4 linked regions of the Canis lupus familiaris genome follow. The protein of the gene in region 3 interacts with the protein of the main gene of each other region in a pairwise test. Links are inferred from orthologs where the notes say so. Each region holds a gene or a part of one and is shown on either strand. Other genes may lie near its edges.

Evidence for each region.
Region 1: the proteins of PAK5 (region 3) and UXT interact in binary tests that used the Homo sapiens proteins (3 or more experiments, as listed by UniProt). The two-hybrid records come from large-scale screens. The link is inferred for Canis lupus familiaris from reciprocal best matches to the Homo sapiens genes PAK5 and UXT.
Region 2: the proteins of PAK5 (region 3) and CCNG1 interact in binary tests that used the Homo sapiens proteins (3 or more experiments, as listed by UniProt). The two-hybrid records come from large-scale screens. The link is inferred for Canis lupus familiaris from reciprocal best matches to the Homo sapiens genes PAK5 and CCNG1.
Region 4: the proteins of PAK5 (region 3) and PSMF1 interact in binary tests that used the Homo sapiens proteins (3 or more experiments, as listed by UniProt). The two-hybrid records come from large-scale screens. The link is inferred for Canis lupus familiaris from reciprocal best matches to the Homo sapiens genes PAK5 and PSMF1.

What each region holds. Positions count from the first base shown.
Region 1 is NC_049260.1:41,471,826-41,478,825, forward strand, and holds the end of UXT (protein UXT), read right to left. Parts: intron 2,782-7,000; coding exon 2,718-2,781; intron 2,512-2,717; coding exon 2,458-2,511; 3' UTR 2,413-2,457; downstream 1-2,412. UniProt on the Homo sapiens protein: Involved in gene transcription regulation. Acts in concert with the corepressor URI1 to regulate androgen receptor AR-mediated transcription. Together with URI1, associates with chromatin to the NKX3-1 promoter region.
Region 2 is NC_049225.1:48,695,288-48,703,507, reverse strand, and holds the start of CCNG1 (cyclin-G1), read left to right. Parts: upstream 1-2,977; 5' UTR 2,978-3,204; intron 3,205-3,775; 5' UTR 3,776-3,904; intron 3,905-4,318; coding exon 4,319-4,582; intron 4,583-6,424; coding exon 6,425-6,678; intron 6,679-7,272; coding exon 7,273-7,351; intron 7,352-7,429; coding exon 7,430-7,528; intron 7,529-8,220. UniProt on the Homo sapiens protein: May play a role in growth regulation. Is associated with G2/M phase arrest in response to DNA damage. May be an intermediate by which p53 mediates its role as an inhibitor of cellular proliferation.
Region 3 is NC_049245.1:12,849,888-12,857,840, reverse strand, and holds the start of PAK5 (serine/threonine-protein kinase PAK 5), read right to left. Parts: upstream 4,138-7,953; 5' UTR 3,912-4,137; intron 1-3,911.
Region 4 is NC_049245.1:20,352,231-20,359,712, forward strand, and holds part of PSMF1 (proteasome inhibitor PI31 subunit), read right to left. Parts: exon of another isoform or gene 7,467-7,482; intron 6,744-7,466; exon of another isoform or gene 6,648-6,743; intron 4,652-6,647; exon of another isoform or gene 4,626-4,651; coding exon 4,473-4,625; exon of another isoform or gene 4,445-4,472; intron 2,831-4,444; coding exon 2,748-2,830; intron 584-2,747; exon of another isoform or gene 508-583; intron 1-507. UniProt on the Homo sapiens protein: Plays an important role in control of proteasome function. Inhibits the hydrolysis of protein and peptide substrates by the 20S proteasome. Also inhibits the activation of the proteasome by the proteasome regulatory proteins PA700 and PA28.

The sequences.
Region 1 (7,000 bases), on a different chromosome or scaffold from region 3:
AAAAAGAGCCAGGTTCAACAAGCACACAGGATGATCCACCATTAAGAAGAGAGGAAGCAGGGAAGGCCATGGACTGATCCACCACAAGGAAAGGAGGGACAAAATAAAAGCACCCTCCTGGAGAAGAGATTACAAAGCACTGGACTCAGGGGAGGGTATGGGGGTGTGTGCCTGGATGCAAGCACATGGGGAACAAGAAGGCCAATGAACAGATCCACTGCAAAGGCGGGGGTGGAGGGGAGTGCAAAGGCTCATCTTCTTTATGGGGGGCAAGGGGAGCAGAAAGGCATCTACTCTGCACAAGAGTAGATGGGGTGAAATGCCATCACACGGACTCATTAAAAGGAGAAGGGAACAAGGCCATGGAATGAGCTACTGAAAATGGGGAGTTCAAAAACACGAAACTGACCCACTATTAAAAGGAAGAGAGAAGCCCAAGGGCTGGAGAAACAGTCTGAAAAAAAAAAAAAAAAAAGAGGCTAGGGCAATGGGCTGATAACGACAAGGGATGTGGATACTAGCATTCAGACCGATACACTGTAAAAGATAAAACCATGGGACTGATGCACTGGGGGACTGGAGGAGGCAGGAATACAACTTCACAGATTAACTCACTGTTAAAGGGGGTGCGGGGGGGGTGCAACACGCCATGGACTGATTCACTACAAGGAACAGAACTACAAGGCCACAGACGGGGCCCTTGAAAGTTGAGGACAGGAGAAAATAAACAGTCAGATGCACCTTCTGTCAAGGAGGGACAATGCCCGAGGCTGCTCCCCTCTAAGTGGGGGTGGGGGCGGGGCAGGACCACGGACGAGTCCACTGTAAGGTGGGGTGGGGAGAACTATAAGCACGCAGACCGATCCATTATAAAACAGGAAGGGGGGTCAGGCCACGGTCAGATCGACTACAAGGGGCGAAGGGAGGGGACAATACCACAGGCAGGTCCACCAGCCGTGGCGGTGGCGGTGGGCAGTTGAACACCAGCAGGCCATGGGCCAAGCCACATCCCTCGCGCGGGGGCGGGAAGGATACGTGGGGTCACGGACGGGCCCTCCACCCTCCAGGCCCCGGGCTCACCTGTGTGTAGCGCAGTGGCAGTATTGGCAGCTCCGGGGGGCGGGGGCTCCATGCGCAGCCCCACCGCCCCCCAGGCCCGGGCTCCGAGGTGGCGGTGGCGGCGGTGGCGGCGGTGGCGGCGGCGGCGGCGGCGGCACCTAGAAGCCGCCCCTGCGTTTCCTCACGGCTCACGTGGGCCCCTGGAGGAGGAGCCGAGCATTCCGCGGCTGGTTGATTGGACACAGCGCCTTGGCTCGACCGCGCGGCTTCCAGGGTTGGGGAGGCGGGCCCTGCCCCGCAGAGCTAGGCCATGATTGGCCCGAGGAGAACTGATGGAACGCAGATAGCCGCCTGGGTTCCGAGGGGGCGTGCTGGGCCCCGCTGGCGCTTCACGCTGATTGGCCCAAGGCTGACAGCCTGTGGGCGATTGACAAGATTCTGGGGGCGCCTGCCTGATAATAATTGGCCTGCATGGAAGACGGCCTCCGAGGATAGGGGCGGATGGACTCTGCTTTCTACTGATTGGCGGACTAGGGACTCCAGACAGCTGCCAAAACACCAACTGGGCGGTGCTGCACTCCACGCTGCTCAGCGGAAGCGGGACTTATATGGAAGTGGGCGTAGCGGCAGGCTGGGAGGGGGTCGGGCCAGGACTGTGCGTAGGTGGGAGGATAACTCTATCGTGATTGGGTAGAAAAGACGAGTTTAGGACAGAGCAGAGATAGGGTTGGACAGCGGCCAGGCACGCAAAGGAGCGTTGAGTGGCGGAAACTAAAGCCTACGAGGAGGTCAGCGTTGAGCCTCAGCCAGTTATAAGGGGGCGGAACCTGGCTCTGCAATGATTGGCGGAAGCTAGACTCAACCTAAAATAGGGGCCGGCCGGGGTAGGGCGGGATCAGGCTCTGCGCCCATTGGTGGAAGCTGAAATTAGTTAGAAGCCGGGTGAGGCCAAGGTTGGAATGAGACGGGCGTGGGTGTAATCTAAGGTACCCCAGTAATGATTAGGGTGGGGGAGAGGGGCAAACTTTAGGGCCAGGAATGAAAGGCTGATTGTCTTGGGAACAAACCTCCACCCTGAATCAGCCCATTCTCTATGATTAAGACAGTTACGTCCAGGAAGATAAAAGGGTCAGGTGGGAGGCCCAGGTTTCCAAGGCGACAGAAAAGAGGGCAGTGCAGAAAGTCAAGTGGCAAATGCTGCCAGGCAACAGGCTGGAGGCGGGACTTCAGGGGTGCTTTAAAGGTTCCACATAGAGACTGGCTCTCTGGGGTTCCTGGTAACTTTGTGCTTTAGAAACAGGGCACCTTAGCAAACAGCAAAGGGTTGAGGTGGGGAAAGAAGGGCCATGTGACTCAAAGGCATTCAGGCTCTTTAATGTCTACGGAGGCGGGAAGAAGTCAATAGTGAGGTGTCTCCGGGAAATTCTGCAGGCCTTGTAGTTCTCTAAGCCCCTGAAAAAAAGGATAGAAGAGATTGAACAGAGATTGTCTAGGCCTCAGCCCAGGCTTGCTCTGACCTCCCCTCCCTCAGAGCCAGCCTGGTTCCTGCTTAGAGAGGAAAATGGTCCTTCCCATCCCTGGCTCTCTCCCTTCGTCGGGTCACACCACCCTGAATACATTTGGAGACAGAGTCTGGGAATGGGGTGAGGTACTCTCACCTCTAGCAACATGTGGATATGGGCCTTGATATTCATGGAGTCCTTGGTGAGGCTGTCGCTGAGCCTGGAGAAAAGAAACAAGAAAGGGCCGAGTGGGCCACACTTAGGCTCATGAAGATGATTTTTCCTCATCACTTCAAGAACTGCCTATGTCCTGGATGATTTCCACATGGCAGGTGGTAGGACATGTTACTACTTGACCTGCTCCTATGCAGAGATGCCTGGCCACCATCTGGGCTGCACTGATTCAAAGAAATTGATTGAATCCCTACTCTATGCCAGGCAATTTTAGGTACTGGGAGATAACAGCAAACACAACAGACAAAAATCTCAGCCTTATGGAGCTCAAGTTCTCGTTAAGAGGGACAAATTATGGAATAATATATAGAGTATTTCAGAGGGTTATAAGTAAAATGAAAAAGTTAAATGATAAGAGAGGATGAGTGCAGGAGTGGGGGGCTGCAATTCTAATGAGAGCACTTACAAATGGCTGTGCGAGAAGCATTTGCATAAAGAGTTAAAGAAGATGATCATGAGGATAGATGGAAGATGAATGTTCCAGACACAAGGCCCAACACATGGAAAAATGATGAGGTAGGAGTGTACCTGGCATGTTTGAAGCACAGCAAAGTGGCTGGCATGGCTGAAGAATAAGGGAAGGGGAAACTGTAGGAGGTGAGGTCAGAGAGATAAGGTGGGGAGGCAGATCATGTAAAACTCACAAGGCCATGGTGAGGACTCTTGACATTTACTCTACGTGAGATTGGAGCCAAGGGAGGCTTGTGATCAGAAAAGGAATGTGAAATGACAAGGGTTCTTTAAAAAATATTTTGAGAGAGAGAGAGAGAGCACATGTGTGTGCATGAGGAGAGGGAGGGCTCCTGTCCGGCTACAGGGAGAGGGAGAAGCAGACTCCCTACTAAGGGTATAACCCCTGATGTGGGGCTCAATCCCAGGTTGCTGAGATCATGACTTGAGCTGAAATCGGACGCTTAACCGCTTAACTGACCGAGCCACCTAGGTGCCCCACTGACCAGGGTTTAAGAGGATTCATCTGGCTGCTGTGTGGAGGACTGAGGATAAGGAGAGCTAGTGTGGAAGCAGGAAGTCCAGTGGGAAGGCTACTGTAATAGCCCAGGTGAGAGATGGAGACTTAGACTGCAGTGTCAGCAGCTGAGGTGATGATTAGTGACTGCATTTGTAATATATTTTGAAGGTAGAGTCAACAGGATTTACCAAATGGTTGAATGTCAGGTGTGAGAGAGAGGACTTAAGGAAGATGCCAAGGCCTAAGCAACTGGAAAGCTGGAGTTGCCTCAAACCACTCTGGCCCTTGACTGCTGAGTTACATATACTGGTCAATTCCTTATATCTTCTTTTTTTTTTTAAAGATTTTATTTATTTATTTGACAGAAAGAGAGAGAGAGAACACAAGCAGGGGGAGCAGCAAGGAGAGGGAGAAGCAGGCTCCCAGTTGAGCAGAGCCCTTGGAATTGCGGGGCTCAATTCCAGGAACCTGGGATCATGACCTGAGCTGAAGGCAGTCGCTGAACTGAGCCACCCAGGCACCCCAATTCCTTCTATCTTCTAAGCTGATTGGGATCAGACTCAGCCAACAGAATCCTAATTGATACAAAGGGCTAAGGAAGGCCCTTCTGAGGAATGAGAATGAGTAAGAGTTAAACAGTAGGAGGGTCTTTTCCCCAAAAAGGCCACAAGGCAGGAAGGAGCTTTTGGAGGACCAGTCAGGAAGTCAGGGTGTTAGGAATTAAGTGACTGGTGGAAGGAAAGTGGTCCAAGAAAAGGTCCCAGAGGTAGGAAGGGGCTAGTTTACACAGGGTCTTGATACTGTCCTAAGGGAGGCAGACATTGTTGTGCTCAGCTATCTGTTCAAGCAGAAATCAATTTAAGGCAAATTAGATATGGTAAGGAGAGTAGAAGGTAACAACATAGAATGTTAAAATGGAAAAAAATACAGCACTATGAACCCATATCTTGAATACCAAGATATTGGTATCTTCCAGATTTATATTTTCAGTTCAGACCCTTCTCCAGCCTTGGGAGTTTTAACTCCTTCTTCAAAAACTCCACTTCACTGTTTAATAAGCACCTCATACTTAACTGGTCCTAGGTTGAACTCCTGATCCTCCTCTGCAAATCTGCTCCTCCTCTATCTTCTCCCTCTCAGATAATGGCAACTCCATCCTTCCAGTTGTTCAGCCCAAAACTTTCACACCTTACAGCCAATCAAGCATTCTGTTTAAAATTGCAACTGCTCCATCCTAGGCAATGTTTCTTTTCCTATTTAAAAATTTTTTTAAAAGATTTATTTATTTGAGAGAGAGAGGGAGGGCAGTGACAGAAAGGGACAGAGAAACCTCAAGCAGACTCCCCGCTGAGCACAGACCCCCCCCCCCAGCCCAACATGGGGCTTGATCCCAGGACCCTGAGCCTAGATCAAGAGCTGAGCAGAAGAGTTGGCGGCTTGACCAACTGAGCCATCCAGGCACTCCTCCTTTTTTTAATTACTAAAGTATAATTGACATGTAACCTTAGTTTCAGGGGTATAATATAATGATCAGATATTTGGATACACTGTCAAACGATCACCACAGTAAAACTAATTACCATTTGTCATCATACAAAGTCATAAAAAATTTTTTCTGGGGAATGTTTCTCCTCTCCATTCCGGGCTGTTCTCTGTAGCACTGCCAACCTGTGACCTACTACATCGTTTACTTCTTTTTTTATTGTCTGACTCCCCTGACTAGAATGTAAGCTATGTAAGGGCAGAGAACACAGACTGATCTGCTTTGTTCCCTGCTGTATCCCCAGGAACCAAACAGTATGCAGCACATAGTAGGCACCAACATATGCTGAATAAATAACTGAATAGACTACTCCATTCAAAGGAACCTGAAGTCCTCAGGAGATGGTTTGAGTCTATGTTTAAAGACAAGAAATCAATGAAGCATGGCACTGTTGCCCGAGAACAGGAATGCTTTCAAGAATATCTGGGGTAGTAATTCAAAGAACAGAGTAATGAACCTGATTGGCTTCTAAGGACAATCTGAACATCAATAAAGAGAACAAAATTAGTTAATGGTACAAGCTTAGTTTAGGAAAGGCTATGAGTTGCAACACTTTTAAAAAAGGAGAAAAATACAAAGCCCACCAAATGCTAGTTGTAACACACAGGAGATGCTTCATTTTTTGCTACTGATTTAATAGGTAAAGCAGTATAAATACTCAAATGGTTACTGTCTGTTCTCTCTCCTTTTTAAAAAAGATTTTATTTTTAAGCAATCTTTACACCAAATGTAGGGCTTGAACCCACAACCCTAAGATAAAGAGTCACACACTCCAGCTACTGAGCCAGACAGGTGCCCCTATTCTGTCTCTTCTAGAGTTACATGTCTGTGGATGTGTTCTCCTTTCTATATAATCAGGAAAGAATATACACACAGATCTGATCCTCCCACTCCCCCAAAGAAATGTGCTAAAAGAAAGACTGGCTGACAGTCATAAAATAACCCGAAAGAAAGTTAGTTCAAGGTGTGTCCCAAATAACAAAATATTTTAAAAAGGAGAGTGAGCTACTCAGACTCAAATCTTCATCTCCTAGGAAGATTAAATTTCTAGGAAGCCCTCCTAATGATAATAAAGTAATAAGAGATCCAATCACATTTCTCATTCCAATAAACCAAGTCAATATATCAAAAAGACCAGACAAGTGGGAAGGCACTGACAATTTAAATACATTTTGGGGGAGAGATATCAAGTCTCAAAAAATGAAAATCTCTATCTGAAAGGCTCAGGAATTCCGTGACATAACAAGGAAAGCTCTGTTATAAAAAAAAATGGATGTGGTCTGAATGACCACTAGTTCAGAACTGTGTTGGCCCATGAAAGCAGGCCCCTTGACCCCTTCACTAATTGGTCTGATCACCAAGATTTAGAAATCTCAGCAGAGGGCACCTGGGTGGCTCAGTCACTTGAGTGTCTGCCTTCAGCTCAGGTCATGATCCTGGAGTTCCAGGATCCAGTCCCGCATCAGGCTCCCCGCTCAGTGGAGTCTGCTTCTCCTTCTGCCCCTCACCCCGCTCATTCTCTCTCTCACTCTGTGTCTCTCAAATAAATAAATAAATCTTAAAAAAGAAATTTCGGCAGATCTGAGGCTCTTTTGGGTCTACTAACACTTGGAAACCTTGGAATGGTTTGAAAAGAGAAGAATTACTAAAACCAGAAGAGAAGCAACTCTGGAATAAATGAATGTAGGCATA
Region 2 (8,220 bases), on a different chromosome or scaffold from region 3:
AATTAGTTGGAAGGGGTTACCTTATCTAAGGTAGTTAGAATCACTGAATGGCAAGATAGACATGACATCACTAAACTATTTTCTATGTATCCTTCTCCCTGCCCGCCCCCCCCACCACCACCCCAACCACCCAGACTATACACAATTTCTCTGGTACACCAAGGGCTAATAAAGACTCAAAAAGGCCACTGCCAAACAAGCTCTCTTTAAATGAATAATACTGAGCAGGTGTTCTAGCAAACAGTTGGAGAGGTGGTAGGGATTGTAATAACTAGTGCCAGAAAGGATCAGAAAGCAGAGGGGAAAGTACCCAGGGATCCTCACTTCTTGATCCCTCACCACAATTGGAAAAATCAACATACAAAAGTTCCAGACATTTGTCAAGAAGCCTAAAGAGATGGTGAGGTGCAGAACCTCCTCCAACCTCTAGGTTGGAGACAGAACCAATTAGGAACTTCCCTGTGAGTCTGGGCAGCATTTGACACAGGACCACTGTTATACCTACTTGTTATAACTTTTGTTGCTCAAAGGCACTTCTGCAGTCTACAATGTAGAGAATATGATTAAATCTTCCTGTGACTGCCTGGGATTCTTGCCCAACCTCAAGGCCATTATTCTGAGCTTTGGTTCTTGCTGCACTTAACTGATGACAGAGAAGAAAGTATAAAGATGGCAGCTGCATATATCTTCAAGCCTCGAAAATACCTGAGAAGCCAGTCATTTGAAACATTCCTGAAACTCATTACTAAATCTACACATCTTTATAAATAATTTCATAGCGAATAAGTGGCTCATTTTCTTTCTTTTACAAGAGTACATAATTGAGTCTTACATTTGCTTATTTTTCTAATTTCTAATTTGCTCATTTTTCTAATTTTTCTATAAAAAATAATCTCTTTTCAATTATTTAAGTGATAGACTAACATTCTAATATCATCAAATATAAATGACAGTGGGAGTAAAGGGAAGGAGAAAAGGTAAGGAATGTCCATTTGACTTGCTTTATATTTAATCAAGTTTTCTTCAGAGCAGTCAAAACAATTACTTTCAGATAGGGAATTTCAGATCTCAAAAAATAAGATCCTGATGTGAAACAGTTTTATTACATAAACACTGATATATTACCTAAAGCCTCACATGAAAATTTCAAGTATAAAAGATTTAGAAATTAATGCAATTTAGATACTTTTATTCGTTTTAAGTAAACAGTTCTTAAACTCTGATTCTAGGCTGAGAAGATTAAATCTGACAATAGAAAAAGCCCAATCAAATGTATGTTTGAGCAAGACATTTTCAAAAGAAATGTTAATAATTTAATAATAAAGGCTACCATTTAGCAAGTATTTACTGTGTTCTGGGCAGAGTGCCTACCTTTTTATGTACTTTGCTTTATTTAATCCTCTCAATAACCCTATGAATAAGGTACTTTTACTTGCCAGAAAAGAATGGAAACTAATGTGATTTAATAACTTAAGAGTCACATAGCTAGTTAGTAACCTACGATTTGAAAATAAGTTTTATTCCAAAGTCCATGTGTTTATAGTGTCCACAAGACTACATATTCCACAAGGACAGGTACCAATATATTTTGTTCTCCACTGGCACATGTTTCAATAGATATTAGTAAGTGAGTATATATACACATATTCCTAATTCTGTAACTAAAAGCCAAAAGAGAAACATGTACATTTGTAAACTCACACATTACTGTAGTGAATACTTTTTAAATGTTTTAAATTGTCCGTTTATACTCATTATGTAAGTTTGTTTTCAAGAAGGATGGAGGCCTCTTCCCCATTTGAAAAGCTGCATTTTGTCAACCAACCTATTGTTGTGGCTGGGGTGTTATTTTGAGGTATTACGTTTCCTCCCTGGTTTTCCCTCTCTTTTCCTCTGCACAACTCTGCCCCCGTTTTGAGGCTTGGTTCTGTGACATTGCCTCAAGAAAAGACACCTCAGGGAAAAGAGAAGGGATACCAGTAAATCTTTCAGATTTTCACTTTTTATAGCTCAGAATGCCACTAACCAGAAAGAGTTCATGATAGCAGAGACATCCAAGTACAGCTCTGAGAACTGATTAACTCTTTCCTCATCAGTCCTCAGACCCTTCTAATGTAGACCCTTCTCATTTGTAAGGGATCGAAAGAGGAGGGGGGTCCAGGAAGGCTTCAGGCTAATTATTTTCCCACCTACCTGGCATGGGCCCCCTTCACACCTGGGTCTGTGGACTTAGATTCATAGTCACTACAAATATTTTCCCATGTACTCTCCTCCTTCCATTTTAAGCCATTTAAAAAAAAACAAACAACAACAACAACAACAACAACAAAACCTACCAACTTTTAATTAGCTCAAAAATAAAATTCAGGAAACTGGTGAAGACCAAGAATTCACCTGCCCCAGCTCCATTCTTTGATAAATCGTACAAAAAGCAAAATAAGGCAAGAATTCATGGATTTTCCAAAGCCCACAAGGAGAAACCTATAGAATACACCACCGCATAGAAAATTCACCACCTCTCCAACCTGTGACGAAAAATCAAGGGTTTACTTTGTGTTTTGTAATTAGTCGCTGTATTTTTACAAAGACGACGCCGAACAACTCTACTGAGCCGCAGGGAACAGACACTCTCAGTACATTCTGGAATGATGTTCTGGCCAATCCGGCTGGCAGCAGAGACCTTACCCGGGACAGAGCGCGTACACCACTTAGTTGGACCACCTCTTGGTTGAAAACACTTTAGGAAACTCTCCACGGAGAGAAGCTGAGAGGCAAGGGGCGTGGCCTCAGGGGGCGGAGAATTTGGCTCCGGGATAATGGGAAGTGTGTGCCGATTGGCTGGACTTCTTCCCTCCCAGGCCAGCCCTCTTTGGACGGCTGGGGCCATCCATCAAAGGAAGTGCACCAATCAGAAGCTAAGCCGCCCCTCTCTCCCGCCCACCAGGGGCAAGCCCCGCCCTCCAATATATTACTCAAGCGGTCAGGCGCTGCCCCTTCGGCTCCGAGCTGACCCTGTGGTGGGCAGTGTCGTCCGGGCGGCGCTGCGGAGACCTCCGCCCAGGACGGCTCCCCCTCCCCGGGCCTCTCCCCTCTTACCCGCGAGTCCCCTCGCCTCGTGGGCCTATCGGATCTGTTATCGCGGGGTGAGGTGAGAGCAGGCCCGGGGAGGGTAGTCACGGCTGAGGAGCCGCAGTCGCGGTCAAGGTGAGCGGGGCCTCGGGGGTTGGCTTCGCGGTGCGGCTGAGGAGCCGGGTTGGGGGTGAGGGGTGAGGGGTGAGGGGTGAGGGGTGAGGGGTGGGGGGTGAAGGATGCGGGGCGAGGGGCGGGTCCAGCCCGCGCTCTTTCCCTCGCTTCACTCTCCGGTTGCAACAAGTCCAGGCTAGTCGGAGCTTGGAGGGGCGGGGCCAGTCTTACTGTCCGGTCGGCGGGGTCCCGGGGACCAGCCCACGGCGGAAAAGCGTCGGGCCTGTAAAGTTAGTGCTTCCTCGTCGGCGCTTCCCTTCAGTCGCGCAACTTGAAAGATCCCCTGCCGCCCGGTCTTCCCCGTGGTGTGGGAGGTACGCTCGTGCCGGGCTTCCCTTGTGGCCGGGACGTACTAGCTGTGGAATAACCGACTCTGAGATTAATGAAACTCCCAGGTGCATGCTGCAGCCTACGGTACCTCACGCCCTCGCGACGTGTTAAGCTTCACCAATAAAAGTTAACGATGATGGAGCGCGGTGTGTCAGGCACTGTGCAAAACTCTACATGAATCATCTTGTTTGAATTTTAACAGCCACTCGGAGAGACAAATGTTGTTACCTCATTTTACAACGAAGTAAATACTATTGTCCAGTGTTTATTAGGTGCCTTTGTGCTAAGCCCTATACCTAGGTGATCTCGTTTTTCCACACAAGCCTGTGAGGTAGGTAAGAACCTCATACCCACTTTACAGATGAGGAAATAGGGATTAAGTAAAATTAACCAACGTTAACAGTTCACAGCATGGCAGTTCAATATAGGGCGATTACATACGACCGTCCAATCTCAGAGTATCAATACTCAGTTATCTCTTGGCAGTGAATGACTTGAACAAGTATTTCTTGAAGATTTTTAATGTGTTTGAGGCATGGCTCCTGTCCTCTAGGAAGTCACAATCTAGGATGTGACCAACTGGTCGGGTGGGGGTGAGGGGTGGCTGTAACAGACGGCACTTTGCAAGGACTTAGATTCACTGGCAGCATTGGGGGAGGGGAAACTTGTGTATAAAGCACTTGGCATGCTACAAGGCAGGAAGGGCTTTTCTTACACTCCTTTCTGGGCCTTGTGCTATATATAGATGATAGAAGTACTGACAACAACTGAATCTCAGAAACTGCTACACCAGCTGAATGCCCTATTGGAACAGGAGTCCAGATGTCAGCCAAAGGTCTGCGGCTTGAGACTAATTGAATCTGCACACGATAATGGCCTCAGAATGACTGCAAGACTAAGGGACTTTGAAGTAAAAGATCTTCTTAGTCTAACTCAGTTCTTTGGCTTTGACACGGAGACATTTTCTCTAGCTGTGAATTTACTGGACAGATTCCTGTCCAAAATGAAGGTATGTTTAAAGCTACATTACACTAAGTATTTCTTGGTTTTAGTCATTTCGTTTTGGAGGTGAATTTCTCTAGCTTTGGGCTGGTATTCAAAAACTTGACCTTTTTAATTTTCAGCAAGTAGCCAAAACATTTCGATGATTCTGTGTACTCTAGCATTAGTGAATACTCTTCCTTCATAATCAAGAATAATGTATAATTAGAATCAACTTGACATTGAAAAAATAGTCTATTAGCAAAAAAGAAAAGAAAAAGAAAAGTGTTAGCAAATAATTGCAGACTCCCAGTATGAGAGTTGGCTGTTGTTTTTTAAAATCTTTCTTGATAGGTTGGGTATTTTCATTTATCTACTGTTGTTTTTAAATTTAAAGAAATGTGTTATAGGCAGAGTGCTAGATTGTGGTTAAGAATTACAGGTTTGTTCTGTTTTGTTTTATATTGTGAACCACTTGGTCAATAGAGTATACTTCTTAATTTCTAGTCATATATAAAGTTTTAATTGTTTTAGCCCTAGTCCTATTCATATATTGTTTAGCTTGCTATTTTCAACATCAGTTGGCATACGGTAGAGAAAAGAGTATCTTCTGAAGGAAGAGCATTTATGTAATTATTTCCCTGTACTGGATAAGCAGGACATCTGTGTAGATTTCAGAACTTGCTTACTGTTAAAAATATATCTGCCTTTTGTGCCCATGGTCATGAGTGGATGAGATGATGTGACAAATGGAAAGAAACTCATCTTTTAGTCTTCAGTACCTGACACAACACCTCATACACAGAAGAAATTCCACATTTGTTGAATTGGATGGTTCAAGAAACTTGCTCAACAGACTAATTTTTTAACTATTGTTTAGACACCATGTGCCAGCACTACCTTTGAATCTACAAATGTTGCACAGATTAATAATAATACATCTGTCCCTTAAGTATATTACAATCTTATATGAAAATAATGTTTGTACCAATAACTATAAAACAATGCAAGGAATAAGAGAGATACTTAAACCCCCAAAGAGAAATAAATATGTTGCTGAAGAGATTCCAAGAAAAGGAGGACACACACACTGTAAAAACTTCTTAAAGTTTCATTTAACGTGTAACTTCAAGTGGATAGAAATTTGATTCTGTCACATTGTAGACATTCAGGAAATGATAACTATAAAAGATTGGCAGTGGATAGAGCTTTACAGGCAGAGTAAATAGTGTGTGCTAAACCATTTAAAAGCCATTTTACATGTGTTATTGAAAAGAGCCTAGAAAAACACGACATCTTAGAAAGATATTTTGTGCATAAGCCATAAGGAGCTTTGATCCTCCTATAAGCCTTTGATCAGTTAATTTATTTGGTCCAACTAGAACATAATGCTTACAGTTCTACAATGATTTAGGAAGGAAAAGAAAAAAAGAATTTCTTATGGGCTGAAGTTAAATATTATCCTGACAGTCCAGTTTCTCCAAAATTGATTCCAAGTGGATACATAGTGTTGACAGGCTAGAGTTGAGGAATGATTGGATCTCTATTAAGTCCTTCACAGTTGAGAAATAGATCTCAAAGATACATTTTAATAATAATGTATCTGAGTTCTAGATTATTTTATTTGTTTATTTTTTAATTAAAATAAGCTAAAGAGGGATACCTGTGTGGCTCAGTGGTTGAGCATCTGCCTTTGGCTTGGGTCATGATCCCAGAATCCTGGAATCGAATCTGGCATTGGGCTCCCTACAGGTAGCCTGCTTCTCCCTCTGCCTCTCTCTCGCTGTGTCTCTCATGAAATAAATGAAATCTTTTAATCTTTTAAAAATAAATAAAATAAGCTAAAGGCATAGTCTCATTGTCATTTTAGGTACAGCCCAAGCACCTTGGCTGTGTTGGGCTGAGCTGCTTCTATTTGGCTGTTAAATCAATAGAAGAGGAAAGGAATGTACCATTGGCAACTGACTTGATCCGAATAAGCCAGTATAGGTTCACGGTTTCAGACTTGATGAGAATGGAAAAGATTGTATTGGAGAAAGTGTGTTGGAAAGTCAAAGCTACTACTGCCTTTCAATTTCTGCAACTCTACTACTCACTTATTCAAGAGAACTTACCAATTGAAAGGTATGTAATCTTTGTTTTGACCAAAGGAGATTTGGAAATCAAAATGGTATTCTGGATATTGCATAATTCAGTATTTGAATTTGGTATAATTCCAATCAAAAGTAAAATGAAGGGGGTAAAAAAGTACAATGACAGCTGCAGCTCCTTGGATTTCATTTCACTGTCCAGCGAAAGTGAGACTTTCAGTTGTCAACAGCTTTTTCAAGTCTCTGAAGGCTAATTCTTGGGATTAAGGGACATTTCAACTTTTTTTTTTTATTACATTTTCCACTTATAGACTACTTAACTCCTAGAACCTAGTAAATATCTACCAGATTTATGGAAAAAGAACTCAGTAACTGCAGAAATAGATTAAAATGAAAACTTGATAGTTGTAACATGATACTTTTTTGGTGGGGGTAAAATTATTTTAAATTCATGTATGGTATCTTCAAGAAGTTAATGCTCCTGAAGGAAAGGGAATTCTTCAAATGATTTATTTTCTGTGATGTGTACGTAAATTTCATTTTAAAATGACTTAGATGTTGTTCTAAACATCCTTCGTTGACTACATTCTACATAAAATTAATCTAATTTTCATTTTCTTTTTAAAAGGAAGAATAGCCTTAATTTTGAAAGACTAGAAGCTCAACTTAAGGCATGCCACTGCAGGATCATATTTTCTAAAGCAAAGGTAAATATTTTATAAAGATTAAACTGATTTATATACCTATTTTCAACTCAATACTTACTTAAAATTTATCTCTTTTAGCCTTCTGTGTTGGCATTGTCTATCATTGCACTGGAGATCCAAGCACAGAAGTTTGTAGAGTTAACTGAAGGAATAGAATGTCTTCAGACACATTCCAAGGTATGTCAAGGTCATAGCCTAAATGGTGTTAACAGCTATAAAAGAAACTAAACCACTTGTGTACTAGCTCCTCCAGTAAAATGAGATGTGTCTGTTTGAAACTTGAGTAGCTTATCCTCAGATTTATTTAACAAGGAAAGACACATTAGTAAGATCACAATTATTGCTGTAGTTATATACTGTAGGACCATTTTTTTAATTTTAGAGTACAGTGGGGGAGGAGAGAGAGAATCTCAAGCAGACTCCCTGCTGAGCACCAAGCCCATGGGCTCAATTCCATGACCATGAGATCATGTGTGACCTGAGCTGAAATCAAGAGTCAGATCTTGGGCAGCCCGGGTGGCTCAGCATTTTAGTGCCGCCTTCAGCCCAGGGTGTAATCTTGGAGACCCAGGATCGAGTCCCATGTCAGGCTCCCTGCATAGAGCCATGTCTCCCTTGGCCTGTGTCTCTGCCTCTCTCTCTCTCTCTCTCTGTCTCTCATGAATGAATAAATAAAATCTTTAAAAAGAAAGAAAGAGAGAGATCTTTAACCACCTGAGCCATGCAGGCACCCCATGTAGGATTTTCTTTTTTTTTTTAAAGATTTTATTTGTTTATTTGAGATATAGAGAGTATATGTGAGAGAGAAAGCCTGAGCAGAGGGGAGGGAAAAAGGGAGAGAGAGAAGCAAACTTCCCACTGAACAAGCA
Region 3 (7,953 bases):
ACAGCTCAATAAATAATGTTATTATTACACATTATTATTTATGATTAATCTCTGGAAGGCTAAAAGTCTAGCTCTCCATTGTCCCCCTAAGGCCTAGCATGCAAGTATAAAAGTCCAATATACATGTGTGAAATGTTTGTTGACTGACTGATGGGTTTTTACAAAAACCTCAGTTGCCAGAAAATATTTTGACTCAATTCTTAACTGCTTGCTTAAAACCAATTCTTAGAAGATGCATTTGTTAAAGCCAAGAATACTCCTTTTTTGAAGTCAGAATGAGTTGCTCTTTTTATACTAGTAAAAAAAAAAAAAAAAAAAAAAAGTTTCTAAAAAATCAGATCTTTAAAAGTTGGCACAGAAAAATGCTGTAAGAGTATTCATTCCTTCACTCATTTGCCATTATTGAGCATCTTCTACATGCAAGACACAAAAAAAATGGCCATCAGTTTACAGACATTTAACAAACAGCCAAACAAATAAATAGGAAATTGCAAATTAAGGTGAGTGCTATAGAAGCAAATTAGAAAGGCGGTAAGGAGAATGGGGCTGCTGGGAAAAGGAGAGCAAGGGTGCCCAGAGGATGAGTATAGTTTGTACTGAAAAAGTATAAGGGAAGTGCTTGTGATACTCAACAGACAGGAGACCATGTTAACAGCAGCAAGAGGGTGTGACCAACATAAGTCTGGCCAAATACCCAAGGCTCAGTCTCTGGAACCTATCCCAGGTATGTGAATGTATTTTATGCAAGGAATTGACATGATCCTATCTGCTCTAGAAGAATGATTGGAGGTGCCAAGCAAGGAGCTCCGGATCTTGCTGGAAAGTTACACTAGTGATCCAGGAGAGATGACGACCTGAGGTTTGATCGTGTGGTGGTAGGGATGGAAAGAAGAATCTATCAAGATATATACATGTAGAAGACAAAGTTTATGTAACTTTGTGATGATTTGGGATATAGAGGGCACAGGAAATGAAGGTGTCAAAGACGATTCTCGAGTCTCTGGTAAAAGCAATTCCATGTACAGTGGTGCCATTTACCAAGATTAGAAAGATCAGAAAGGTGTTCAGATTGGGATGTTCTTGTTTCTCCTGTCATTTTTCTTGTTCAATTCGATCTTCTGTTATTTGTTTGCATTGTGTTGGTGGCGTAGCAAAAAGGGAGGAGGCAACATTAATGAACACATTTGGGACAGGGTGTGTCAGGTTAGGTAGCCTATAGGAGACTGAGATCCTGGGTCATCTGGGGGTGTCCACATAAGTGACATTTGTCTGGTACCTTCGAATGCTGCTCTTCCCTACCAGGTTGGGAAACCTCATACATGTTAGCTGGATTCAATAACCTTTAAAGTCTTTCCACAACCCGTAATACTCCATCTTGACCTTCTATTCATATGCTGAAATAATCATGTCATGAAATACAGATCACAGAGATGTTGATGCGCTGGACTAAATAGTGTCCTCCAAAAATTCATGCCTAACCAGAACCTATAAATGTGACCTTATTTGGAAATAGGATTTTTGCAGATATAATCAAGTTGAGGTCATACTAGATTACAATGCACCCTAAATTCATAGGAATGGGGTCCTTTTAAGAAGGGAACTTTGCCATGTGAAGATGGAGGCAGAAACTGGAGAGAAGTTATCACAAACCAAGGAACACCTGGGGCCACCACAGGCTGAAAATGGCAAAAAAGGATCCTCCCCTAGAGGCCTCAGGGGGAGCACAGCCTTGTCTACACCTTGATAAAGGAGTTCAAGCCTCCAGAACCGGGAGAGAACAAATTTTGTTTTTAGCCACCTGGTTTTTGGCAATTTCTTACAGCAGCCCTAGGAAACTAATTGGGCTTAGAGAGTTAGATTACTTGTTTGGGCGTAACTAACAGAACACAGGGCACACAGTATAGGTTCAATAAATATCCATTTCCCTTCCTCTTCTAACGGCCACCACCATTTTCCTGGTGGTTTCTATTACAAATAATCCACACACCAAGCCATTTAGGTAAGTCTCTCTATTCCCGGGGTTGTTTTACATGGGAGAAACGGAGGCTCTATAGAGTTAAATAGCTTGCCCAAGAACACAAAGCTAGGAACGGAGGAGTCAGAGCCCAAACTCAGCTGTCTCATCACCAAGAGGATACCACGTCCCAGAACACCTGCCTCTTACACCTGCAGCATTGAAGCAAACTGACAGAGGAGCTGCCAAACTCTTTTCAATGCCTGCAATTAAAATTCACATTTATTAACAAAATACCAAGTTGCAGGCACCTAGTATAATCGATCTTTACCCATTCCCAGAGGAACACAAAAATCTTATTCTAAGATCAATGCTATCAATAAACTTGCCATCAACTCTATTGCTTCCATTAGCAGTGCTTCTGCTTTGCACATATGCATTCCAAGTCAAGGTATTACCATCAGATTAGACATTTATGGCTTTCATTTACTAAAATTCATTTTCCTCAAGCACTCCCCATTTCATTTTGATGATACTGACTCCTTCTTGCCACCTTAGGAGGCCATATGAATAAATACTCTAAGTATGGAGGAAAGTGTCTCAAACCTTTCCATCCTTTAAATTGATGTCCATCCTTTAAATTATGAAGTAAAAAATAAAAGCATATTCTAAATTTACCTTCCCTCCCTAACTCAGTGAGTTGTGCTGCTGAATATAACAGATATAGAAATATAAGGTGGCAGAGTTGTTATTCTGGGGTGTCAAGTTTCATAAAATTCTAGTGTAGGAGGGGCTTTTCAAGACTATCTTGTCCATCTGGACTCAGGTGAGATAGACTGTGTGTACATACCGTCAAACCCCAGAAGAAAAATGGGATGTGCTGGGGTATTTTGAGTTACCTCTGAGCCAATGGCTATTTCTCGGTCGAACCTTGTGCAATGCCAGGTTTCTCAATTTCCCCAAAAGTGTATTTAGCCTTCCAACCTGTCACCAGCTATTAAGGATGGCACTTTCCTCTGGCTTACTGCCAACTTCTCTATTTATTAATTTGACCCAAAAACAAACAACAACGACAACAACCCACCACAGACAGCCCCAATGCTTCAAATTCCCTTAACCGACATCTAATGTTGAATTAACTCGCGTCCCATGGTTCAAGCTCCAGCTACACACACATGGGTTCCGGGAGGGCAAACACGCTTCTCCTCCAAACGGGGCACAGAGGATTTCTGGACTTTTCAAGTTTACCCTCCGGGAGGCCAACATCACACGCGATTTTGACAAGAGTTTGGAACCAAGATCCTCTTCCACGCTCTGCCCACCCCCGTGCCCAGGAGCCGAAGTTCCCTCTCCATCACAACCCTCCACGCGCGCACACACACGCGCACACACACACATACGTATACACACGCACCGAGGCAAGTAACAAAGGAAAACACAGCCCCATAAAGGCTCCGCTAGCACATCTTCCCGTCCACACCTGCCAAGAGACAAACAGCATACGGAAACCCTGCCCTGGCAATATGTGCCACAGTCGTGGGGCGAAGCAGGCACCCTGGCACCCCCGGGCGTGCGCGGCTGTACACACAAAGAACCGGCGCCGCGCTCGCTAGCGGTCCAGGGGACCAGACACTCCCGGAGCTGGCAGCCAGGGGTGCCCCCCACGCCCTCTCCCCCCGGATAAAGGAACTATCCTTTATGCGACCCGCGGAGGGCCCCGGCTGGAGAGCAGCGGGCGGGGGCGGGGGCGGGGGCGGTCCCCGGATCCCCGCCCTGCAGCCGGCCGGTCCCCAGCCTCCGGCATCTCCAGGCGATGCACACCCCGCGCTGTCAGACGCCCGCCTCGCATCCTCGGCGGGGGAAGCCGGACGCCGGGTCCCGGCCGCGCGCATCCCCGCCAGCGCCCCTCCCCGCGCCGCGTCCCACCCGAGCCGCGCAGCCGGGCGCGCCTGCCTACCTGGCGGCTGGCTGGCGGCGCCTTCTCCGCTCCCGCCGCCGCCGCTACATCGCCCGGAGCGCCACGTTCCGGGTCTCCGCGGGCGCACGCCGGCAACTACTACGGGCTGGGTAGGGGCGAGGAGGCGCGGGCCGGAGGGAGGCGGGAGAGGCAGAGCCGCGGCTCCCTACTCCCCACCCAAGCCTCGCCGGCTACTGAGCATGCCCAGCTGCCCGGCTTCGCCCCTAGGAGGACTTTCCACGAGCGCACGCAGCTGCTCCGGGTTTTCGCGGCAGCCGGCGGGAGGCAGGCAGCAGCAGCTGCGGGGGGCTGGGGGAGGGGAGGCGGGGAGGGTCGGGGAGGGTCTCCACGCTGCGGAGCCCCGAGCCGAGCCGGAGAACGCAGCCGCTTGCCGCTGCCCGCGCCAGCGCAGCCCCTGCACGCCCCCCTCCACGCGCGCTCCGGCTTCGCAGGAATCCTGTGCAGGACCAATGCGGGGCTGGGCTTTGCCCGGGAGGAGAGCCGAGGGGGAGGAGGCGGGGCCGAGAGGCAGATCCTTCCGCTAAGCGCCTCGCTACCACCTGGACCTGGGCTTCCCAAACTTCAACGTGCCGTAGCATTAAAAGGCGTATTCATAGTCACTGGGTCTGTCCAGGTGCCTCAGATTCTGCAAGCTAAATAAGCCTCCAGGTGATGTTGTTGCCACTGGTCCCCTGTGCGGGCTAAGTAACAAGATCTAGAGAACACCCCCCTATGACCTCTGTGTGGCCATCCTTCAATAAGCCAGCCCAGAAATGGTCTGTGGCATCCACAGAGGCCCCTCCTGCCTACAGATGGTGTGGTGGCTAGTGAGGGAAGGTTCCTACTCTACACACACATACACACACGTACACACACACAACTGGGTTGCTGTGCCGCCCTGGAAGAAATCACACTAGGGCTAGGCTCTGAGCATCCAGCACAAACTGGCTACTTTCTGACTTAGAATTTGACAGGGGAATACGAGTTCCTGGACCGCTCCATGCTCATTTTGCTGGTTGGCTAGCAAACTAGCTGCTACATGAGCTGCTCTGCTCAAGTCCAAACCAGCCTCCCTTGGCTGTCCCCTGCCTTTCCTGACCTGGGACAGAAAGTCAGACTGGGCATCCAAGTGATGAATTTATGACACGTGCCATGGTAAGGTTGGGCTAGCCCAGTTAAGAAGACTGGCAGATTGTGACAAGACGAGGACGTTTGTATACTGAGAGATGACAAGGCTTTCTGATGAATGAGTAATGTTTGGGCTGAAGCTTGCAATGATACCTTGTGGTTTATATTAAATCCTCTAGTTGTCCACTCTCTTCCCAGCCTCTGAAGGCTCCAGGCATTGTCAAGAATATTCACTGTCCATGCCATAGTGAGAAAGACGTTCACAAAATCAGTCATGAGTTTCCAACCTTGGAAATGAAGTTCTACCCTTGTCTGTCCTTAGCTAACCCAACAATATTTTCGTGAGCTAATGATATGGTATCTGATTCCATAACTGCATAGCAGATTAAAAAGAAGGGTTTGTATCCATCAATACCCTATTATACTCAATAACTCTAAACAGTTTTAGAGTTAATGGTATAATATTTATCATTTCTCTCTTGCTTGTTTTCCATTCATTCAGGACCTTCCATGTAGTAGCTGTGGTATCAAAACAGAAGCCATAGGATAAATGGATAATTACTTTTCTCCCTCAATACTCCTGTGTATAAAAGTAAAATATGTCCTGGTAAATCATGCCTTGTTTTTCTGTTTAAAGGAATATAGGAGTCTCTAAGTCTACCTCTTTATTCTCTAAGCCACACACATAGCCCTAACTCTACCCCCACCACCACCACCCCCTCTCCCATCATTATTTGCATAAATATTTTCTATTTTTTGTGACCTTCTTGTATGTGTGCTTGCACAGATGCAAGAGCTAGAAAATATCTTTATAGAGGTTTGTTCATTTGTGATTGGTATTCAATTAGAATTTTGCTTTGAAATACTGAACTTTAATCACAGGGAAGAAGCCTTACTTGTTAAACATAAAGTTTGCATTTGTGTGGCTGTTTCAACCAGTTTAATACTATGATTATTGTTATTTGCCTCAAATTCATTTAGGAGTTAGGCAAGATAAACTTTATAAATGAATAATAATGCTATTTCTGCACACACTGCATTGCATTAAGTCCTAGGAGGGTTCTTTTCATATAATATCATGTCTTAAGAGTTTAGCAGGCAGGGTGTTGATTAAGAACTAACATGTGTGGGCCAATGGCAGTCTTGGCCAGCCCTCCAGGGAGCTCTGGAGCAAGGATCATCCTTTAGTTGTCTCGAGTTGATTCGAGTTGTCTAGTCCTTTATACACTAACATTAATCATTTGGCTGTATTGGAATAGGCATGAACTTGAAATGAGGCAGCTCTCTTAAGCTAAGGCAGTCCCTGAAGAAAAGAACATCTGAAAGCCATCTGCCAGCAGTTGTCCCTGCAGCTAGAGTAACAGGTCCTTCACTTAAGGGAGATCTGGGTAGAACGTCACTTTGTCCACCACACTAATGTATTCATCAAATATGGCACTTTTGAATACACAAAGTAGAACTGCACCAATTTGTCAGAGGGATTAAAAAACTTTACTCAGAGATTTAAAATTTGGAAAATAACCTATGATCAGCAATTGTGAGTTGTTGGAGTTGGTCATTGAGAGGATGTAACTTTTGGTTGACCCATAATCTGGACCTGGGCAATCAGGTCTCACCTCTCCTCACAATCTCCCCTGTCCTGGCAATGTACATTTGGCCCACCATTCCCACCGTAGGAGCCAGTTTCAAGGACACAACCTTAGAGGGTAATGTATTCTCAGGTCCACCTGCTGAATATGTGACTTAACCCAGTTAAGGCCTCTGTAAACTTCTAAGATTCTGTTGAGTAGGTGTGAAGAGCCGCTCATGTTGCACCACCTAAGACAAACCTCACATATAGATTCCCTTGATTATTAAAATCGTCACCTACTAATCTGGAGTGGCCTGTTTCTTCATTCTCCCCTTGCCCTCTGTGCCTGGGGACCAGTTTCAGATTTCACTCAGGAAGCTCCAACAAGAGTACATTTTCTTTCTTTCTCTCTCTTTTTTAAGATGTATTTATTTGAGAGAGACAGAGAGAGAGAAAGTGTGATTGCCAGCAGGAGAAGCAGAGGGAGAGAGAATATCAAGCAGACTCCACACTGAACACAGATCCAGATTCTGAGCTCAGTCCTTTGACTCGTGAGATCATTACATGAGCCAAAATCAAGAATCAGACACTTAACTGACTGAGCCACCCAGGCACCCCAGGAGTACATTTTTCTATTTAGTTATCTGGCTCCATATATTTTTTTGTATGTGAAATGATTAATTATGATCTCTTAAGCTAACATTTAAGACATGATTTTATCCACTGCCAAATTCTGTATTTGTGCTTTTTAATTTGGGAGGGGGAGACAGCAGTTAAATAGTACTAGAAGTATGTATTTTCTAACATAATAAAGCTACATAGTAGTGAATATTTCATGAGAAAATAATCTCAACCAACCTTATTAATACACACACACACACACACACACACACACACAAAGCAGTGAAAAGAGGTACATGAGGGATAAAGAATTTGGTAGATTGTTTGAGAGGGCCATTTAAGACCACACCCTAGAGTCAAGGTTCGGACTACTCCAGCTTACTTCCCCCCTCATCCGTACTATTCATTAGCAAATAGCTAGAATCCCTCAAAGATTAATCACAATTATGAAGGAACCAGCATGGACTCCAGAAAGAAACAGGTCACTTGCTCAGAAAACAAGAAAAGTGCAGAACCCAGAGCAGAAACAGAATGTTTCAAGGAAAATAAAAAGTATAAGAGAAAAATTCACCTGAAGGATAATTACCCCCAGGAAACAGAACAAAAGATCAGGTGAAAATTTCTCCAAAGTTCTAAAAAGTTAAAGATTATATGATCTGACCCCCCCAAAATTTTTTTATTTTTTATTTTTTTTTTATTTTTTTATTTTTTCCAAAAAAATTT
Region 4 (7,482 bases), about 7.5 Mb from region 3:
AAGAGTAAGAAGCCCATGGTGATTAGATTAAAAATGAAAGCCTCAGTTTAACATTTAAGAAAAGGCCTTAAGGAAAGAGCTTCCAAGCTCTATGCATTCACTGAAAGGGCTGGGAAGCCAAGGTATCCTCAGTATTAACAAGCACATTCAGGGCCCAGGTTTTGGTTCTTAAATATGATTCCCCACTAACAGAAGTCAAGACTTCTGAGAAAACCGGCTGATTTCAAGGCAGGGCCAAGGAAATGACAAGGTGAGGCTGGAACATCTCACTGTACCAGCAAGTATGAGATGCTTGACCAATGATGGGGACATGTCACAAGGATAGAGGAGGTAGTGTGAAAGGGTTTCCACTGGTCAACTCCTGAACAACAGCAACCAGAGAATGACAGAAACAGACCATAACCTAGAATACAGAAGAATCCTTATGTCTATACTGGTATTTTAAAAAATAAAAAGTAAAGGGGACAGGAAGAATAGGAAACTCTTTTTTTTTTTTTTTTTGTACAGAATGCTGATTAATGTGGAAAGAATGCCTAAGATAGAAAATTACCCTCTTCCAGGCGTCACTATTTAACGGACTCAGGTGAGAACACTGACAGATGCTGAGACGGCTAGATGAAAGACCACTAGGAAGCAGAGTACTCAATGTCTGCTGGTAGAATCCCGCAGATCACTTCTTAAGCATGAAGGAAAATAGACACCTTTACTAGAGAGGGAGCTGGGAGATACTGTCATAACCAAGTGATCAAACTGAACAGAGCCAACGAGACAGACGTCTGGGCTTGATGTGAGATGCTGAGGAGAACGCAGGAGTGCTCTTGTTGAAAATGTTCAGTCTGAATCAAAGATGACCAGATAACCTAATAAATCTGATCATGAGGAAACAATCTGAACATTCTACACAATAAATGACTTGGAGTCTTCAAAAATACCAAAGCCGTGGAAAACAAACATCTGGAAAACTGTTCAGGATGAAAGACAATTAAGGAGCCATGAAAATAAATGCAATATGGGATCTCTGGTTGGGTAAGAAAAAACCCTCAAACCAAACACTCAAAAAACTAGCTAAAAAGGACACTGCATGACGGCTGCAGAAATATCAATGTAGATGGTGTATTAAGGGATACTCCCGTATCTGCGCTACATTTCCTGAGTGTGAGAGCTGTGTTAAGATTATAGAGAATACCCTTGTACGAACAAGGAGCTACTGCTGAAATATTTAGGGGTGAAGGTTAACAAAGCCTGGAGATAATTCTCAGGTGGTTTGGGGATCCCTGGATGTCTCAGCAGTTTAGCACTGCCTTCGGCCCAGGGCATGATCTTGGAGACCTGGGAACGAGTCCCGCATCAGGCTCCCTGCATGGAGCCTGCTTCTCCCTCTGCCTATGTCTCTGCCTCTGTGTGTGTGTGTGTGTGTCTCATGAATAAATAAATAAAATCTAAAAAAAAAAAATTCTCAGGTGGTTTAAGAACAGAATGGCGCACAGAAAAAATAAGCAGATGTGGCAAAATGTTAAGAACTGGTAAACTTCGGTGATAGGTATATGGGTGTTCACTGCAATATTTCTGTAAACCATCTTTTCTGTAAGGTAGCAAATTTCAAAATAAAAAGTCAGGAGAATGAGAAAATGAGCCAGACTGGGAGAAAATATTTGCAAAACACATATATGATAAAAGATGGTTAGCTAAAGTATACAAAGAACTCTTAAAACTCAACAGTAAGAGAACAAACCAATCAAAAAATGCCAGAGATCTGAACAAACGCCTCACCAAATAAGCATATGAAAAGATGCTCCAGGTCATCATAGGTCACTTGGTAACTGTAAATTAAAAGATACTACTACACGCTAATTAGAACGGTCAAATCTGAAAAACTAATACCACCAAATGCTGACAAGGATGTGGAGCAACAGGAACTCTCATACACTGCTGGTGGGAATGTGAAATGGTACTGCCACTATGGAAGCCACTACAGCAGTTTCGTACAAAAATAAACATACTTGGGGCTCCTGGGTGGCTCAGTTGGTTAACTGTCTGCTTTTGGTTCAGGTCATGATCCTGGGGTCCTGGGATAGAGCCCCTGCTGAGCAGGGAGCCTGCTTCTCCCTCTCCCTCTGCCCCCGGCTCATGTTCTCTGGCTTACTCTATCTCAAATAAATAAAATCTTAAAAAAAAAAAAAAAAAAAAAAAGGTAAAGGTTAAACATACTCCTACACTGCCAATAGTGAAGTGAATGTAAAATATGGAATCTGAGTGAGAATGTATATTGATGCAGGTTCTTCCATTATAACAAATATACAGTAAGCTGATAGTGGAGGCTGTGTCGAGGTGGCTGGAGGCAGACCTATTCATGTAAATTCTCTGCGCTTGTTGTTCAGTTTTGCTGTTAACCTGAAACTGCTCGAAAAAATTAAGTCCATTTAAAAGAAAAAGCTGGAGGTGGAGACCAGATTAGGCACACCTTTTCTCCAGGAGCCTATTCTTACTGACTCCATTGGCCTGATTCCACCTCTCCCCTGTAGCCACCGAAACACTTGCGGACTCAGGCTTACATCATTTTACTTCACGCGGCATTTCCCATGTGAATCTTCTCTTAAAATAAATTGAAAAACAAAAAAGAGAATTGAGAAATGGCTATGCCCAAGAGACAAAGACCATTCTATTAATTTTTCTTGGCTCTCTGAACTTCTCCACCCCGTTCCATTGTTTCTTCTTTTTCCCAGGGAAAAGCCATCCCTTAGAAGTACCTGTGGAAGTCACCCAGGTGTTCTGAATCGATATAATCATCCAAGTTCAGGGTCAAATCTGATACCTGCTGTGACCCAAATTCCTAGAAAAATGAAAACAGAAAACGAGAGACGGGATATTTCTGGGCTAAGGGGAGAATAACAATTAAATATTCAATTTAAAGAAATACAGATGCACAAAGAAATATACCAGGAACATCTGTGATATGTGAAACACCCTTCTGATGCTTATTTAGAAATACTGCCTTTCTGAGGCAGAGCCCAGTAAACCTATTTCCTGGGCACAGGCATATAACTGAGGTGTCAAATGGATGCACGTCTTTGGCTTAGAGGTGGGCAACATGGAAAAGCAGGCCCAGCAAGGGGCAGACATCTCCCTAATGAGGGGGCAGCAGATGCATCAGTGGTTCATTAGAAGGGGCTCTAGGGCCTGGAGCATAAGTCAGCACCTCATGCAGCAGCAGCTCATGTCTGGGGTGGTGGCAGCAGGACTAGTTTCCATGGGGTGGTTTGAGGCACTGTCTTGAAAGCCCAGACTTGAACCTGTTTTAGAGAAACAATTCCTCCTAACAATTCAATAAGCTATCCCAGTTCTATTAATAAACCTAGTCTAACTAACTTGAGGGGATTTCTATAACTAAGAACCCTGTCTGATACAAGATCTAAATGTTCATCAAAACAGAAAAGGATAAGGTGAACATAAGAGAAGGGATGGAAAAATGAAATAAGATAAAAACACAGCAGGAGGCAAACCATAAAAAACTCTTAACTCTAGGAAACAAACCGAGCGCTGCTGGAGGGGAGGGGAGTGGGGGTATGGTAGGTAACTAGGTGATGGGCATTAAGGAGGGCATGCGATGTAACTGGGTGTTGTGTGCAACTCATGATTCGTTAAATTCTACCCCTGAAACAAATAAATACACTCTATGTTAACTACATTGAATTTAAATAAAGGGAAAAAAAAACAGAAAGGGATAAATTATGGTATTACAGAAAACTACATAGTAGTTAAAATTAATAAGGTGTATCTCTATGCATTCCCACGTAAAGACCTCCAAAATATATTGAATGAAAAAAGCAAGGTACAATGCAATTTTATATGAGCACATGGAGATAACCAGGACAAACTTAAGAAGACAGTCACTGCCCTTGTGGTGCTTACAGGCCAGTGGCGGAACACAAATATCAAACCAAAGGATAACTACATGGTTACAAACTGTTGTAAGTACCAGCAAGGAAATAAAAGGATGAAGTAGAAAGGCATAATTTAGATTTTGCTGGCAGGTTAGAGTAGGTAGTTAGAAGGGAAGAGGGTGCATATGGGGTGGCTCATGGCGGCAGGGAAAAGTTTTCCATCCCTGAAAAGGAGAAATGTAAGGGCACCAGGATAGCAGAGAGCAGGCTTCTCTAAAGGACTAAAAGTAGCCCCTTGGGCCTACAGTATGCTTTTTTCATCCCTATTGTCACTGAAAGGATTTACCCTAATTTATGTAATCATTCCCCTGTGATGGAAAGTCCCTCCCTTGATAATACTAGAAGGTGAACCTCTTTGAGCACAAAGCTGTTCTATACTGAGGATTCCTGTCTTGGTTCCAAGAGTAAGGTCATTGGGTAAAGTCCTCACAAACATTTAAGGCTCTTGATCTGTACTGTTAAATGAGTGACACAAAAGTGATCCCAATGTCCTCTCCCACCAGCAGATGCCAACACATCCCTGAGACTCACCAGCACATTGATGATCATGCTGTTCTCTACAGTGACAGCCTTCACAAGGAGCTTTCTGGACCCATCCTTAGACTCATACCGGAGGACATACAGGTCTTTATTGCTGTTCCATTCAGCCGGCAGCAGTTCTGATTTCTTATCATTGGGACCTGGCTGAGAAGACACCAGGATTGAGAGAAGTAAGTTCACAACCTCAGAACACAGAGCTATGAAGGATTTTAGAGATAATCTAATCCCACTTCTTCATTTCACAGATGAGGATATGGAGGTCAAGAGAAATAAAATGTCCAAGTTAAGAGGTCTGGGACTTAGGTCTCTGGACTCCTGCTCCAGTACTCCTTCCCTTGTAGCTGACTGCCTTGATGACACAGTACTAGAACCTGTCCAGAATCTGTAGCCTTGTTTTAGTAAGAATCTCCTCTCCACCCCCCCGCCAAGAATAAGGCCAATTTCCTGAAGGGATAATGTGAAATTCTAAGACCATGTTTTTTCTAAGTTCAGAACTGGACCATCTGCAACAGGATCACCAAAGTGTTGACTAAAAATAAAGATTCTAGGGTAATCCCTTCCATACTGTAGTGGTTTCACAGAAATTATGAACAATTTTCATACACAAATAAAATATAGCATATGTATGAGATAAAACATTATCAAGTGGATACCTGTACATGTGCCACCTGCTTAAGAAATAGAACACCACCACCACCAAAGCCTCAAGTACAGTACTCCTAATGAATCTCTCTCCTTCCCCTCTTGGGTAATCGCTACTCTGCCTTTTTAAAAATTTCTTTACTTTTCCTTATAGCTGTGTTACTATACAAAAAAACCTAAAAATATACTGCTTCAAATGCTTTTGAATTTGTATCACCTTCATCACTTCCTTTTTCGTTCAATATTATGAGATTTCACTGTGTCAAAACATTTAACCATATATAGTCCACTATGCAGCACTCCATTGCAGTACAGTTCATGGCTGTATATAGTGTGGAGTTTATGAGCATGCTGCAAGGTACACAATCACTTACTGATAGATATGTGGACTGTGTACAGGTGAGCTGTTATAAATGATGCTGCTATGAACACTTGTGCATACATCTGCTGACAGGTGGATGAATTTCTATAGAGTATTTGTGGGAAAAGAACTTTTAATTTCTAAGGTAAAGTCAATGAGAGTTCTTGTAGTTCCATGTGGCCAGCAACATTGTCACTGTCCAATTTAAAAATTTTTGCCAACCTGGTGGGTGTAAAAATGCATCACTGTGTGTTGTGAGGTCTTCTTTTTCCTTTTAACTTATCCTAGGACTTTCCTTCTACACCCTGAAGTTTGAGAAATCGTTTTTGAACTATTTCTATAGGAAAAAGTAATATAGTGATTTCTAGGTGGGGAAAGAGTTCTTAAGATCTGCAAAAGAAAAAATGTACTATCTTTGAGACTATTCTAAGTTTAAAGCTTCTTTTCAACGACAGACACTGCAACAGTATCAGACAGCAACAGGCCAGGCGAGAGTGAGATATTTGCCATGGTTACAAATGAAAAAGAATTAATAACTAGCACATTAAGGGAATGCCTGGAAAATGAATGATGATAAAGACTGGAGGGATCCCTGGGTGGCGCAGCAGTTTGGCGCCTGCCTTTGGCCCAGGGCGCGATCCTGGAGACCCGGGATCGAATCCCACATCAGGCTCCCAGTGCATGGTGCCTGCTTCTCCCTCTGCCTGTGTCTCTGCCTCTCTCTCTCTCTATCATAAATAAATAAAAATTAAAAATATTTAAAAAAAAAAAAAAAAAGACTGGAAACCTGGGGATTCCTGGGTGGCTCAGCAGTTTAGCGCCTGCCTTCGGCCCAGGGTATGATCCTGGAGTCCCGGGATCAAGTTCCATATTGGGTTCCCTGCATGGAGCCTGCTTCTCCCTCTGCCTGTGTCTCTGCCTCTCTCTCTCTCTCTGGGTCTCTCATGAATAAATAAATAAAATCTTAAAAAAAACAACAACAACAACTGGAAACCCACTTGAAAATCTGGCAAAAGATATGAACGAGCAAAAGAGCAGACAACTGTATATAGAGGGCTATTCAACTTTATTGGCACTCAGAAAAATGTAGGTTGAAACAATGGGTGCCATGTCACGCCCATCACACTGGTATTACTCATTTCTTGATTTTTTTGTTCATATAGGTGTGAGGACAATGGGGACCCCCAGACACGGCAGGTGGCCACTGAAACTGCTGCAAATCCTCTGGAAAGCAGCCTAGCAGTATGTGGTACCCTCAGGTAAGCTGACACCTTTTGACCCCAAACCCCCATTCTTGGAGGAAACCTTGTGCACAAAGGCACAGGGGACATGACAAGGGATCTTTGTCATAACCTAGTCATGAACAACAAAGTGGAGGTGAAATAAAAAAAAATAAGCTCACAATGGAAGACTATATAGGAGCTAGAAGGAACAAAAAGATCAAATTGTAACACCACAGATAAAGGTAGAAAATAGAACTTAAAATATAACTTAAAAAATAGTGGTACTTGGGTGTCTCAGTGGTCAAGCATCTTGCCTTTGGCTCAGGGTGTGATCCCGGGGTCCTAGGATTGAGTCCCGTATCAGGCTCCCCACAGGGAGCCTGCTCCTCCCTGTGCCTATGTTTCTGCTTCTCTGTGTCTCTCATGAATAAAATTCTTGCATACACACACACACACACACTTAAGGGGTGCCTGGAAGGCTCAGTCTGTTGGGTGCCCGACTCCTGATTTCAGCTTAGGTCCTGATCTCAGAGTCATGAGTTCAAGCCCCGTGTTGGGCTCCACACTGGGCATGGAACCCACTTAAAAAAAAAAAAGTTTATATATATAAACACATAGAAAAACTTAAATTTTTCTTAGAAATTAAGAAAAAATGAGATTTATAGCCAGGTACCATCTATGTAAAAAAAAATTTTAAGACATACAAAAGTAACCTATATATATTTTTTTCAATACCTATTTACATGGCTAAACACAAAGCAAGTAGATTGGAAAG